Linked DNA regions of Ovis aries. The protein of the gene in region 3 purifies or fractionates together with the protein of the main gene of each other region. This does not show direct contact. Links are inferred from orthologs where the notes say so. Each region holds a gene or a part of one and is shown on either strand. Other genes may lie near its edges. The genes, in order: RAP2C, STRN and MAP4K4.

Evidence for each region.
Region 1: the proteins of MAP4K4 (region 3) and RAP2C purify together in Homo sapiens (affinity purification with mass spectrometry; 3 studies listed by BioGRID and IntAct, counting the BioPlex papers as one, with this or other methods). This does not show direct contact. The link is inferred for Ovis aries from reciprocal best matches to the Homo sapiens genes MAP4K4 and RAP2C.
Region 2: the proteins of MAP4K4 (region 3) and STRN purify together in Homo sapiens (affinity purification with mass spectrometry; 4 studies listed by BioGRID and IntAct, with this or other methods). This does not show direct contact. The link is inferred for Ovis aries from reciprocal best matches to the Homo sapiens genes MAP4K4 and STRN.

What each region holds. Positions count from the first base shown.
Region 1 is NC_056080.1:102,670,221-102,674,504, reverse strand, and holds the start of RAP2C (ras-related protein Rap-2c), read right to left. Parts: upstream 2,857-4,284; 5' UTR 1,570-2,856; intron 1,453-1,569; exon of another isoform or gene 1,348-1,452; intron 1,230-1,347; 5' UTR 678-1,229; coding exon 405-677; intron 1-404. UniProt on the Homo sapiens protein: Small GTP-binding protein which cycles between a GDP-bound inactive and a GTP-bound active form. May play a role in cytoskeletal rearrangements and regulate cell spreading through activation of the effector TNIK.
Region 2 is NC_056056.1:87,166,409-87,170,052, reverse strand, and holds part of STRN (striatin), read right to left. Parts: intron 2,662-3,644; coding exon 2,614-2,661; intron 1,828-2,613; coding exon 1,706-1,827; intron 1-1,705. UniProt on the Homo sapiens protein: Calmodulin-binding scaffolding protein which is the center of the striatin-interacting phosphatase and kinase (STRIPAK) complexes.
Region 3 is NC_056056.1:99,985,671-99,989,796, forward strand, and holds the start of MAP4K4 (mitogen-activated protein kinase kinase kinase kinase 4), read right to left. Parts: upstream 2,852-4,126; 5' UTR 2,579-2,851; coding exon 2,522-2,578; intron 2,203-2,521; exon of another isoform or gene 2,181-2,202; coding exon 2,115-2,180; exon of another isoform or gene 1-2,114.

The DNA.
Region 1 (4,284 bases), on a different chromosome or scaffold from region 3:
GTGGAACAGATAATCGTCTCCAAATAATTTTCCTTACAAAGTGCTCTATTTGCCTGAGATTATCTTTTAAATGTTGTTTGCTTGAGTACCTTAACGAAGGCTTGTGGAGTTGAACAAGCAACTTCAGAAGGCTATAGTCCAGGCTAAACATACACAAGCTGACATTTCTTTTTTCACTTCTCTTTCACTTAAAAATAACTTTAAAACATTTGTTGACGGTTGCGACTTTAGTCCTCTCTACAGAAACAACTGGGTACTTTTCCGTGCCAGGAGTAACCTCAAAAATGCGCCATGTCTAACTTTCAAAAGCAAAACAGTCATTTACGCACGGTGCAAGCAAACCAGAAGTAAATGTTGGATTACCACACCCCCTTCTTACAAATTATAAGACTTGGTTTGGTTACCTGAAAAGACTGTTGATTAACCAGACTGTAAACCAGGATGAAACCTTGGCCGTTTTTGATGTAGAGATCTCTCATGGAAGCAAACTGCTCAGTTCCTGCGGTGTCCAGAATTTCCAGCACGGAGGGGGAAGAGTCCACTTCGATCTCTTTGCGGTAGAAATCTTCAATGGTGGGGTCATATTTCTCAATGAAAGTCCCAGTGACAAACTGCACAGTCAGGGCGGATTTGCCAACCCCTCCGCTCCCTAACACCACTACCTTGTATTCCCTCATTGAGTCTCACCTTCACCAACTCCTACCAAAGGGAGGGAAAAATAACACCCCGCTCGCTGCGGCGCTGCTCGGAGAGGCGGAAGGTGGGCGGAAATCTGCGAACCCGGGAGGAGAGTGCAGAGGAGCCGAGGGCCGGACGGGGGAAGAAGAGGAAGTTAAAGGAGGGGGAGGGGAAAGAGCGAAGTGTCGGGGTGGGTGGGGATGGGATGGTAATGCCCTTCCTATAGGAACTGAAGCCCAGGCAGGGGGCGTGGGGAAAGGGCGAGCCCTGAGCAGCCCGGAGGAGGGCGGGGGGAGGCGAGACGCGCCCCCCGAAGGGAAGTGGAGGGGGGGACGCCGCAGGACCGACGGGGACCCCCGCGGGAAGACAGGCGTCCAAGGAGCCCGCGGTCGGGGGCTGCCCCGCACCCCTCCTTCGCCCTTCACACAAAGGGGCCCAGGGACCCCGCTTCCTGCTCGCGCCGCCGAGCCGGCCCGGGCCTGTGGGCTCCGCTCCAGTCGCTGTCGCCCGGGCGGGTCTCTGGGCCGCGGCTGCCGCGGGTGTCGTCCGGCCTGTGAAGCGGGGGGAGAGGGCGCGCGTTACCAGCCTGACCCCCGCCCCAGCCCGGCAGCCCGGCCGGCCGCCTCCTGCGGCTCCCACCCGGACCCGGCCGCCACCGCCGCCGCTTACCCTGCCGTCCGCACCCGCCCGGCCGCCCGGGAAACTCTGTCACGCCAAGGCCATGGCGAGAGGCTGGTTCCTCGGTCTCACCGCCTCCCCTGCGCTACCGCTCGCAGAGGGGAAAGGGGCGGGGGCCGTCCGGCGGCGGCGGCGGCGGCGGCCGCTGGGACTCCAAGCGAACCCACCTCTTTTTTTTTCTCACCCCCCCCCCCCCCCCCCCCCAGCACACACCCGGAAGGGTTTCCCTGACACACTGGTTGAGGTGCCCCAGTTCCCCGAGACTGGACAGGATCACTTCCGGTGGGGAAAGTCCCACCTCTCCGGGGCGAGCCGGGTGGCGCTGGGGCCGCGCCCTGCTGGGCGAGACAGCGGGGACGGTTTCGGGTCTGGGCTACGGCCTTGGCAAAGGGCCTCTCTCGGGACCTCCGGAGTCTCCTTTTTCCGCTCGGCCGCCCGCAGCTGCTGTTTCTGCTGCTGCTGATGTGGATAGTCCCACCCCGACCTCGCGGAAGCCTCTCCGCGTCTCAGAGGGCCCCCAGTCCGGCCTGAAGACTCGATCGGCCTGGGGCGGATCTGATGACCCGGAGCACAAGCCAAACATCCCCGGACTAGAAGCGGCAGAGAAAATAAAACAGCCGAGAAAGTGGATTCTCTTTGCTGGTCTTCCTTCCACTTGGTATTTTTCGAAGGAACGCGTGCAAACTAGCCTTCGACTTCACTAATGGTTCTGATTTCCTCTGTGGTGTGTTTTCTTTAGCCGTGCTGACAAATAATTGAACACACACACAACACAGGGTACTTTATCACCTGGCAAATCTGCCTTGTCTCCACCAGCAAATGCCAGAGTCGCTCCTTTCCTTTTTATCACCAGGCTCGAAAAACAGCAGGATTAGAAGTAGACTTTATTAAGGTACTCTAACTCAGTTTTGCCTCTTTTTTGATTCCAACCGCTACGCAGCGAGGAAGCGTGGATTGGCAATTGTTTAGGCCAGCAGACTAACTCTTTTCATTGTCTTGTAAGGCACAGCAATTTAACTTGGCTCTCCCAAGTTAAACTTTGTTTTAATGACCATGCTTCATAATCTTTGAAATTCAAAGGACTCTAAGGTTAAACACACAAAGTTTCTATTTTTAGATAAAATTGTTACTTCTTACATATCTTTCCCTCTGCTTTCTATTTGTAAACTTTGTGTCACATCCACAGAGCCCCGGGGTCAGAAGCCTAGGTTATATTTTATGCATGTCACTCCCTTTTTGACTCGGGCATGCACACAGAAAGCTGAAAGAGTAAGTAGCCAGTGGAGTTAAAAATGACCTCAAATCCCCCTTGCAAGCCCTAAGGGCCCAACTGTATAATACCAAGCCCCAATTGTTAGATATTAGAAAACAAGCAAATTAGTGAGAAGTCCTGATGTGTCTCTCCAGTATTCCCCAGTGTCACTTACAGTATCCAAAGGACAGTTCAGTTTCTTCTCAGCCTAGAGCTGGTGTAATCTGTCCCGCGAAGTCTCCAGCTCTGGCTCCAGCTGGCCCGAGTCCCGCCTGATATCTGAGGCACTGCCCTCTGCTGGAAGAGATTTGGTCTGTGAATTATGAGTTTCCTCACAAGTCACTGCTTTTTTTTTCACACGTGCTGTTGCCTGATTTGGAGCTCTGCTGCCCATCCTTGTCTGTTTCCAGACAGTCTGGGGGACCCACAGCCCTGCCCCAGCCCTGCTTGTGACAGGGAAATTCCTCTTCTGATCTCACAATCAGTGCTGAGTAATTGCCTCAAGTCTCTGCTGTTACTAAACTGTCAAAACAGGGTGCCCCTCTTGCTAAGGTGGCTTCACCTGTTGACAACTCTACTATCTCTGAACTTGTTGGCTACAGTATTTTGTAGAGAATTGTTTGTTTCTCTACTCAATGAAACATACCTCTCCCTTCGGTGCAGAGTCTGTTTGGGTCACTGTCATCGACTACAGAGTTGACAGATGTCACATAGCCCGAAGATCCTTCTAAACTTTCTTAGGAAGGGTATTTATTACAGTGTTTAGGAAAGTAAACAATTGGAAGTAACTTAAACATCCTTCAATAGATGATTTAAAAAATAATGTGTGTATACACTCAAAAATAGGATACTGTGCAGCTATTAAAAAGAGAAAGGTATATTTGTAAATGCTGATATGAAAAGATGGCCAAGATATATTGTAAGGATGAAGGAAAAGCAAGATACTGAACAAATACATGTGTGCTCAGTTGCTTCTGTTGTGTCTGACTCTTTTAGACTCTATGGACTTGTAGCCCAGCAGGCTCCTCTGTCCATGGGATTCTCCAGGCAAGAATCCTGGAGTGGGTTGTCATGCCCTCCTCCAGGGGATCTTCCCAACCCAGGGATTGAACCTGCGTCTCCTTTGCTTTCTGCATTGCAGGCAGATTCTTTACCACTGAGCCACCAGGGACAAATATGTAGTTGCCCCCATTTGTGTAAAATATGTGGGAGTGGTGCAACATATAGTTATATAGCCATTAAAACCTGAAAGTCATTAATTACTAGTGAAGGATATTGTGAAAGGATTTTCATGTCCGTGTGTCATTTTAATTTTAAGACAGTAATAAGGTATTCTTGGGGAAAAAAAGGAATAAATATAATTTCATAATATTTGAAGGGAGAAAAAAATTTGTCGATCATCCTTTCCTCAAAACCAAACCAAACCCAATATCCTAACTGTCTAGGGATCAGTGGACAGGCCTGCCCCATTTAAACTGCCTCCTCCTGCTCCTCCTGTCCTCTCCAAACATCTCTATACTTAGAAAAGTATTTTCACATACATTATCTCATTAGACTCCAGTTGTTCACCAGTTTACTTTTATTAGGCAATGAGAATATAAAGACTAGCGACGAGAGCACAGCCTGGCAGTTGAGAGCCAAGGGCTCCAAATTGAGGGGGCCAAGCATTTAAAATA
Region 2 (3,644 bases), about 13 Mb from region 3:
AAAGCAATGGCACCCCACTCCAGTACTCTTGCCTGGAACATCCCATGGATGGAGAAGCCTGGCAGGCTGCAGTCCATGGGGTCACTGAGAGTCAGACACGACTGAGCGACTTCACTTTCACTTTCGTGCCTTGGAGAAGGAAATGGAAACCCACTCCAGTGTTCTTGCCTGGAGAATCCCAGGGACGGGGGAGCCTAGTGGGCTGCTGTCTATGGGGTCGCACAGAGTCGGACACGACTGAAGCGACTTAGAAGCAGCAGACCAAAGAGACATGGGAAGGAAGAGAGGCTAGAAAGATGGTAATAATGACCCTATATGAGAGACAGCAAAAAAGACACAGATGTATAGAATAGACTTTTGGACTCTGTGGGAGAAGGCGAGGGTGGGATGATTTGAGAGAACAGCATTGAAACATGTATATTATCATATGTGAAACAGATCACCAGTCCAGGTTCGATGCATGACACAGGGTGCTCAGGGCGGGGATGCTCACCCACTGGGATGACCCTGAGGGGTGGGATGGGGAGGGAGGTGGGTTCAGCATGGGGGACACATGTACACCAATGGCTGATTCATATCAATGTATGGCAAAACCTACCACAGTATTATAAAGTAATTAGCCTCCAATTTAAATAAAATTAAAAAAAAAAAAAAAAGAACCAGAGAGGGAAATGGAGTCACAAAAGGCTTCTTCCTGCCCAGGATGGGAGAAACTTGAATTTACTATATGCTCAGGGGATGGAAACAGAGCAAAAAGGGTAAGGCTTCAGATGAGTGCAAAAGAGAGAGGCAGCAAAAAAGAAAGACAGTGCAGTCTCAAAGGAAACAAGAGAAGGAGGTCAACAGCGAAAGGGAAAGAGTTGGCTTGGGACAGAATGAGATCAACTAATCTCTGAAAGAGGGATAAAGGAAGTGACAAAAAGTATGAAACAGAGAAATCCAGAAAAGAACTGCAGCAGGAGAGGGTGTTATCTTTCACAAAATACGTTAAATGATTACTAAATAAATGTTGGGAGAATATTTTAGTTACTGAATTTCTTATCTTAGGTTTAGTGATGAAATTAATCTAAAATGGTAATAAAAATAAACTATGGTTTTATGACAAATATGACACTTCATATTCTAGAATTTATGGAGAATTTAAAGAGAAAATCAAAATAATTGAAAGAGAATTTATGATAATATCTAGTGATATATCCTACAGTTTTTTGATTCATGGTGCTGTTTCCAAATCTAAAGGGTACTTTTTAATTTTTAAAAGTCTTTTAAATATATTGGTGTTATACACTTTGAAAATCATTAGCCTCTACACTCTGTAATAATTGATCAAGACGATGATGCCAACATTCATTTTCCTTCAAAATTATTTGTCAAGAGTAGTGACAAAGTATGACTACAGATTAATAATAATGTGTCAAGTACTGTACACATGCCTACAAATGAAGAAAACAACTGTCAATCAAGGCAGCATTTTCAATCAGTAAGACTTGGGGGTGGGAACTCTTTTTGCAGGAAAAATACATTATTTTCCCTCTTTTTTTAGCATATTATATATATATATATCAAATTGATTCCCAAATATAGAAACCCTTTTTAACAAAATAAATTTATTTTCAAAACCATCTCATTTTATCCATAGATATGCAATATAAAATGCATAAAAAGAAACTATGTGATTCCTTCATATTTTGGGGGAGTCACATACCATAGGAGTCATAGGGATCGATGTTGGGGTTAGTGGTGTTCCAGCTCTGGATCAGTCCATCAGTACCACCACTGTAGCACTGCTCACCATTGCTGCTCATCACCACACAAAGCACTGGACCTCTGGGAGAAAAAATCAATTTCCATCCTCAAAAAATCTATTTGGTATTACAATGAGTTAGAAATAAGAATGCTTGGTTTTTCAAATGGCTTTCTCTTTTTCTATTTTGTACAACAAATAAAAAATTTACCAAAGCACTATTCATTTTTCTTCCTCTGCTAAACCAGTGGTTAGTGGTCTATGGCCTGTGGATCAAATCCAACCAGTGAACTGGTTTTGTACAATCCTAAAGCACTTACAGTTTTTACCTTTTTAAAATGTTATAATACAAAACTAAACTAAAAGCAAGAATATACAACATTAAATATGCAGCCTGAAAAGCATTTACTATCTAACCCTTTTTAAATATAAAACGTATGCCAACCTCTGTGCTCAATCGAGTGAACAGGTACATTTCTTAAACTTAAATGGAAACAGGAAAAGCATGAAATGTGGCCACGATTTTTTAAATGTCTCAGGTATTTTTACCAGGTTATCTTTAAGGAAAAAAAGATCAGGATTTCTAATAGTTAAACTTAACTGCGTCAACTTCATTTTAAGAGAGAGATATATACATCATCTAAACATCATGCGAATAATACCTAATTTCAGCAAGGATCCCTATTTGGTAGTGATATACTTGTCACTAACATTACATTATCTGCCACTTTCTTTTACATTTACAAAAAAAATGCTACCAAATACAATAAAAATACCACATACGACAAATACATACATGAAAGAAGATATACTAATCAGGCTGATTTACAATGATGTTGATTTAACACAAAGAAAAAGCACACACTTACTTATGAGCTCTGAATGTATAGATAGGCTCCACATCAAGAGACGTGCTCCTAAATCAGAGAGAAAGGAGGATGTTTTTATCATTCTAAAAGTCAGTAGTAAACAGTATGACTGAATGTATGTCATAAAAACGCCCCTAGAAATATCAACACTATGGTAATATACAATTCTCAACCCCAGGACACAATAAAGCCTACCTAACATCAATCACATATTTCTGTGGCTTCAAGAAACAAAATTCTTTAGTAACTGTTACAGCACTTTTAGCACTGTCCTAATCTATTTGATTAAAGGGAGAAAGAGCCTCACTCGGAGAGAAAACAGAAGGGTTTTGAAGACATAAATTTCTGGATTTAATTTCCAGTTCTGTATCTAATTGGCTAACTTTAGGCAAATTATTTAATCTTTTGAAACTTTAGATTCCTCTATGTTTAATATAAAATATAAAAATAGGGATAACAGCAAATATTTACAAGATTAAATGAGATTCTTCACGGTAAAACAGCGTAGGACAGAACCATACAGAACAGAATTTCAATCAAAGGTACTTTAATTTCCTCGCATTTCCATAAAGATTAACATGTCTGTCCTGAATACCTGCAGAAACTGTCCACATTAGATTTGAACATCAGAACAGATTATTCACTACTCAGAACACTGAGTGTATGAGTACTCTACATGGCTTATGCTGGCCATACTGAGAACAGAAACTGGATTGTATTACAGATTTTTTTTTAATAGGCATATGATAGCTCTCCTCATTTCCAAAGTTTTAAGTTCAAAGGTAAACAAAGACTATTGTTACTTGCTTGTGAAGGTGTTATTACTAAGCTACCACCAGCAAGAAATTTCAATATATTTCAAAGTTACAGTCAAGAATATATGATGAGATACTCAACATTCTCTCATCTAATATGATGCCCACTGTGAACTAAAGAACTTGAAGAACAAAAGGCACAGTTTGTAACCAGGAAATACCTTTCTCTGTTAAAGACACCTGATCTACATGAAGATTCACTTGGTTTTAGCAATA
Region 3 (4,126 bases):
AGTCACATGCTGGTCACTGTGAGGCCAGTGCTTGCCTCTTCCTCTCCGATGTCTGTTTCAAATTCTCCGTAATAATAAACCAACTGCAGGCGAGCAAAAGCTCCCGTCGTGCTCCTGCTTCAGACTGCAGGCCATTGTTGAACAGATTTCCTATAGTTTCCTCGGCTTCGCATAATTTGAGCATTTCTTCTCAACTGTACTTTGTAAGGAGAGAGCCAGGGAGCCTGTTACTGCCCAATCCCAACAGCTTCCCAAACCTGGTGCTTAGCAAATCGATCCCAAAAGCTTTGGGGGAGAGAGTGTGGAACCAGAGGGAAGGAGCAGGGGAAACCTTGGGAGTGAACCTGCCCCAGGTGCTCCTGTTAAGAACACCTAGCTCCTAAACCCATGAAGACACATCCATGGTTCACTCTCTTTTTCTCTTACAGTTTAAAAACAAAAACAGCTTCTGGTCTACTTCCACCAGCCTTCACATTTGTGCTGACCCTTGAAGACCCAAACAATCCAACTTCTGTGTAAGCAGGTCAAATACAAGCCCTGGCTAACTCACTTGGACGAAGACGGTCACCACTCAGACCTGGCCAGAAAAACTCGGTTAGGAAAAACCAACCAGTGCTTAAACAAACACTGAGGCTGGGGAGAACAGTTTTTTGGAGCCAGTTAGCAGACCACTCAGGGAGTTGCAACATGACCGTTTCCAAAATTTTCCAAAAGCTTCCAAATTCAGTTGAGCCCGGCAGGCCGAGCTTAACAGGGCTCTCTTTCAAATTCAAAAACCTGGCCCTGGCCCCAACTGTTAGCCAACAGAACACATGCTGATTCACTTGAGATCACCTAAAAAGACGGACTCCGTCCAGTTCAGACCACAGGCCGGTACACAGCCGGGATCGGGGGAAAGTTGGGGCTGTGGATAGATAAACCCTATTCACAGAGCAGAAAAAGGGACAATGGGATCCACACTTAATTTGGCCGAAGAAAACGTCTACAGTCAGCTTCCAACACCCCCCTCCTCCACTTTTCGCCAGACAATGACAATTCTTCACAGCGAGCCACAAAGCCCTGCTTCATAAGATTTTTTTTTTCCCTATCCCAATCCAACTAGAAAACAGGGAACAGCTATGGAACACCCCCGGTGCAGTGCAGATAACTTGAAGAGAACCTTCAGTAACAAGAAACAAATCAGAACACGGAGCATTTCACATTCTGTTTCAAACATTCAAGGGCCCTGCCTCCATTAGCCAGAGCTCTGGGTAATCTCCACAACGTGCACCGAACAAAACCAGCAACAAGCTTAGTCTCATCAGGTGTCTGTTACTCAGGGCCGACTCAGAGTCTCCGAATTTGTTAGTTTCAAGGGACTGGGGGTTGGTGAGGGGGGGGGGGGGGGGGAGGCTCATGTTAAAAAAAGAGAAAGACCTGGGGTTGGTGTGAAATCTGGGCACCCTCGCCACTCCTGAGCTCTGTCTCATTTCTGTTTCAATTACACACCTGTCAAACAGGTTATTCCTGGAATTCAGACTGTATAATCCTCACCCTGTAATTCTTCCTGCTCCTGCTACCCAAACACACAGCCCTCCCCTGTTCCCCAAAATATGCGCCCATCGGTAGAACGTATGCTGGTGATAAAGCAGAACCAGGTATCAGCAAACTCCGCTCCCTGGGCTCCCGGCGAACATTCAAACAAGGCAACACGAAGACAATTCTCAAGGCCAAGGCAGTGCTTTGGGATAATCACAGGCGAGGCCTGCCTATTCTGAATTTTAATGAACACACTAACTCCGAAGGCCAGATCTGGGAAAAACGGGGGTGGGGGGGGGGGGGGGGGGCATGTAGGCTGCCTGATGGAAAAAAAAAAAAAACGCTTTTCCATTTTATGGAAGTGCATGCCTGAGAGTGGAGCGTTATTTCCTTATCTGAGAGCCAGGAAATGAGGTCTTTTCAGGCCAGTGTGAATATAAACTCTGCTAAAAAACAGCGGGACGACGAGGCAAGCCCCCTCTCCCAACTTCAGCCGCGCGGCGTGGCCTCCGGGCGGCGGCGTGTCCATCCCCCGGCGCCCCCGGACCAGAAGTTTCAACCCGTCCCCGGGAAACAAAGGAGGCGCCCGCACCGACCTTATAGACTTGTCCGTAGGTGCCATTTCCCACCACTTCTACCAGCTCGAAAATCCCCGCCGGATCCTGGAGGAGAAGGAGGGGAGGGGTGAGCGTCGGAAAGCAGCACAACAATGAATAAAGCAGCAGGACAGCCGGAGAGAAAGGGCGGCGACCCCGGCGGTGGGCTTCGTGCGGTGGGGTCGCGGGAGCCCAAGGGCCGCGATCCGGGGGCCGGGGGTCCCGGGCGGCGGCGGCGCCGGCGAAGGGTCGCGCCCCGGGGGCCCCCGCACCCGTCGACGCGGGCAGACAAAGGGGCCGCCGTACCCGCGGTTCTTCCCGCGGCGGCGCCCGGGCGGCCAGGGCGCGGCCCCGGGTCCCCGCGCGCCCCGCGCCCCGCGCCCGGGTGCTCCTGGGCCGCCACTCACCCGCAGGGAGGACAGGTCGATGTCCACCAGACTTTTGGCAGGGGAGTCGTTCGCCATCTTCCCTTTCTGCCTCCGCGGATCGGCCACGATCAGTAGGTCTCCGGCGTGTTTCTGGGCGTCGGAGGCCCGGCGGGCGGCGCGGGCCCGCGGGCGAGGCCGGGGGCGGCGGGCGGGGCGAGCGCGGGTGGGCGGCGGCGGCGGCGGCGCTCACTCCATGGCCGGGGCGGCCGGCAGGCCCCCGGGCGTCGCCCGCGCCTCAGGCCCCGGCCCCGCGCCCCGCGCGCGCCTGCACTAGCGGCCCGGAGCAGGGGCCGCGGCGCCGCCGAGTGTGGAGCCCAGAGCGCGAGGCCGCCAGACAAAGATGAGCGGGGGGCGGGGGCGGTGGCGGCGCGGGAGGAGGAGACACGGGACACCGAAATCGCACTCGGAGGAGAGCGAACAGCTCCCCCTTTCCTCCTCTGGCAGGAAAAGCGGGCGGAAGCGCGCTCGCGCCCGGAGGCGGCAGGGCGGGGGGCGCGGGGTGGGGCCCGGGCGGCGACCGCGCGCGGGGCCGGAGGGGGGCGCACCCGGGACAAAGGGAAGCCAGCCCGGACCCCCCACCTCCCTGCCTCGGGCGGAGGGGCGGGCCGACCCCCGCCCCCGCGGAGCCCCGCCCCGCCGCGCCCCGCCCCGCCCCGCCGGGATCCCGGAGCTGGAGGGTCCGCCCGGCCCCCGCGCCCCCCTTCTTCCCTTCGCGTCCCCCACCGCCGAGTCTGCCCCTGAAGACCCTCGTTTCCGGTTTCCCTAGCGGCTTCTCGGGTCCTTTCTCTTCTTTTCCAGGCTGAACCGGTGACCTCGTTGTAGTTGGGGATTCGCCGAGCATCACTCGGCCGACGCGTCCCGAGACTTTAGGCGGAAACTGAATCCGAACCGCTCCGTTCACTGCCTTGCCCCGAGTTCCTCACTGTGGACGAGGCGAGGACCAGGAGTCTTGCCCCAAGTTCTGTGCCTAGAGATCGCTGAGGAGCGATGGACAGGCTTCTTCCGGCAACTTTGGAAGCCAGTCAGCAGTTAGACAGTTTCATCCTGTTTAACGTGAATAAATGGTCTGCAAACAGTCATTGCATCACTGTCACTCCGCTGGCCAAACACCCTAATGGCTCCGTATTCCCTCACCGCAGGGTCCAAGAATCACCGAAAGGGACTGCAAAGGCGCTGATCGCCTACCCCACCTCCAGAGTTTGATCCACCAAGTGTGGGGTAGGCCTGAGAGGCCTCATTCTCTGTACAGGCGATGCTGAGTTGCTGCGACGGGAAGTTTGAGAACTGGGGCTCACAGGATGAAACTCCAAGGCCTTTGCGATCGGGCTTCGCCAGCATCATTATTTACCAGTACTTAGTTTACACACAGTGTCTACTGAAGCCCTCCTATGGCCCTAGGGTGATGCTAACCTCATTTTAGGGCTGAGGAAGCTGAAAGAGAAGTTGTTGTTCAGTCAAGTCTGAGAGACTCTTTGTGACCCCCATGGACTGCATCGTGCCAGGCTTCCCTATCCTTCATTGTCTCCCAGAGTTTGCTCAAACTCATGTCCATTGAGTAGGGACGCCATCCAACCATCTCATCCT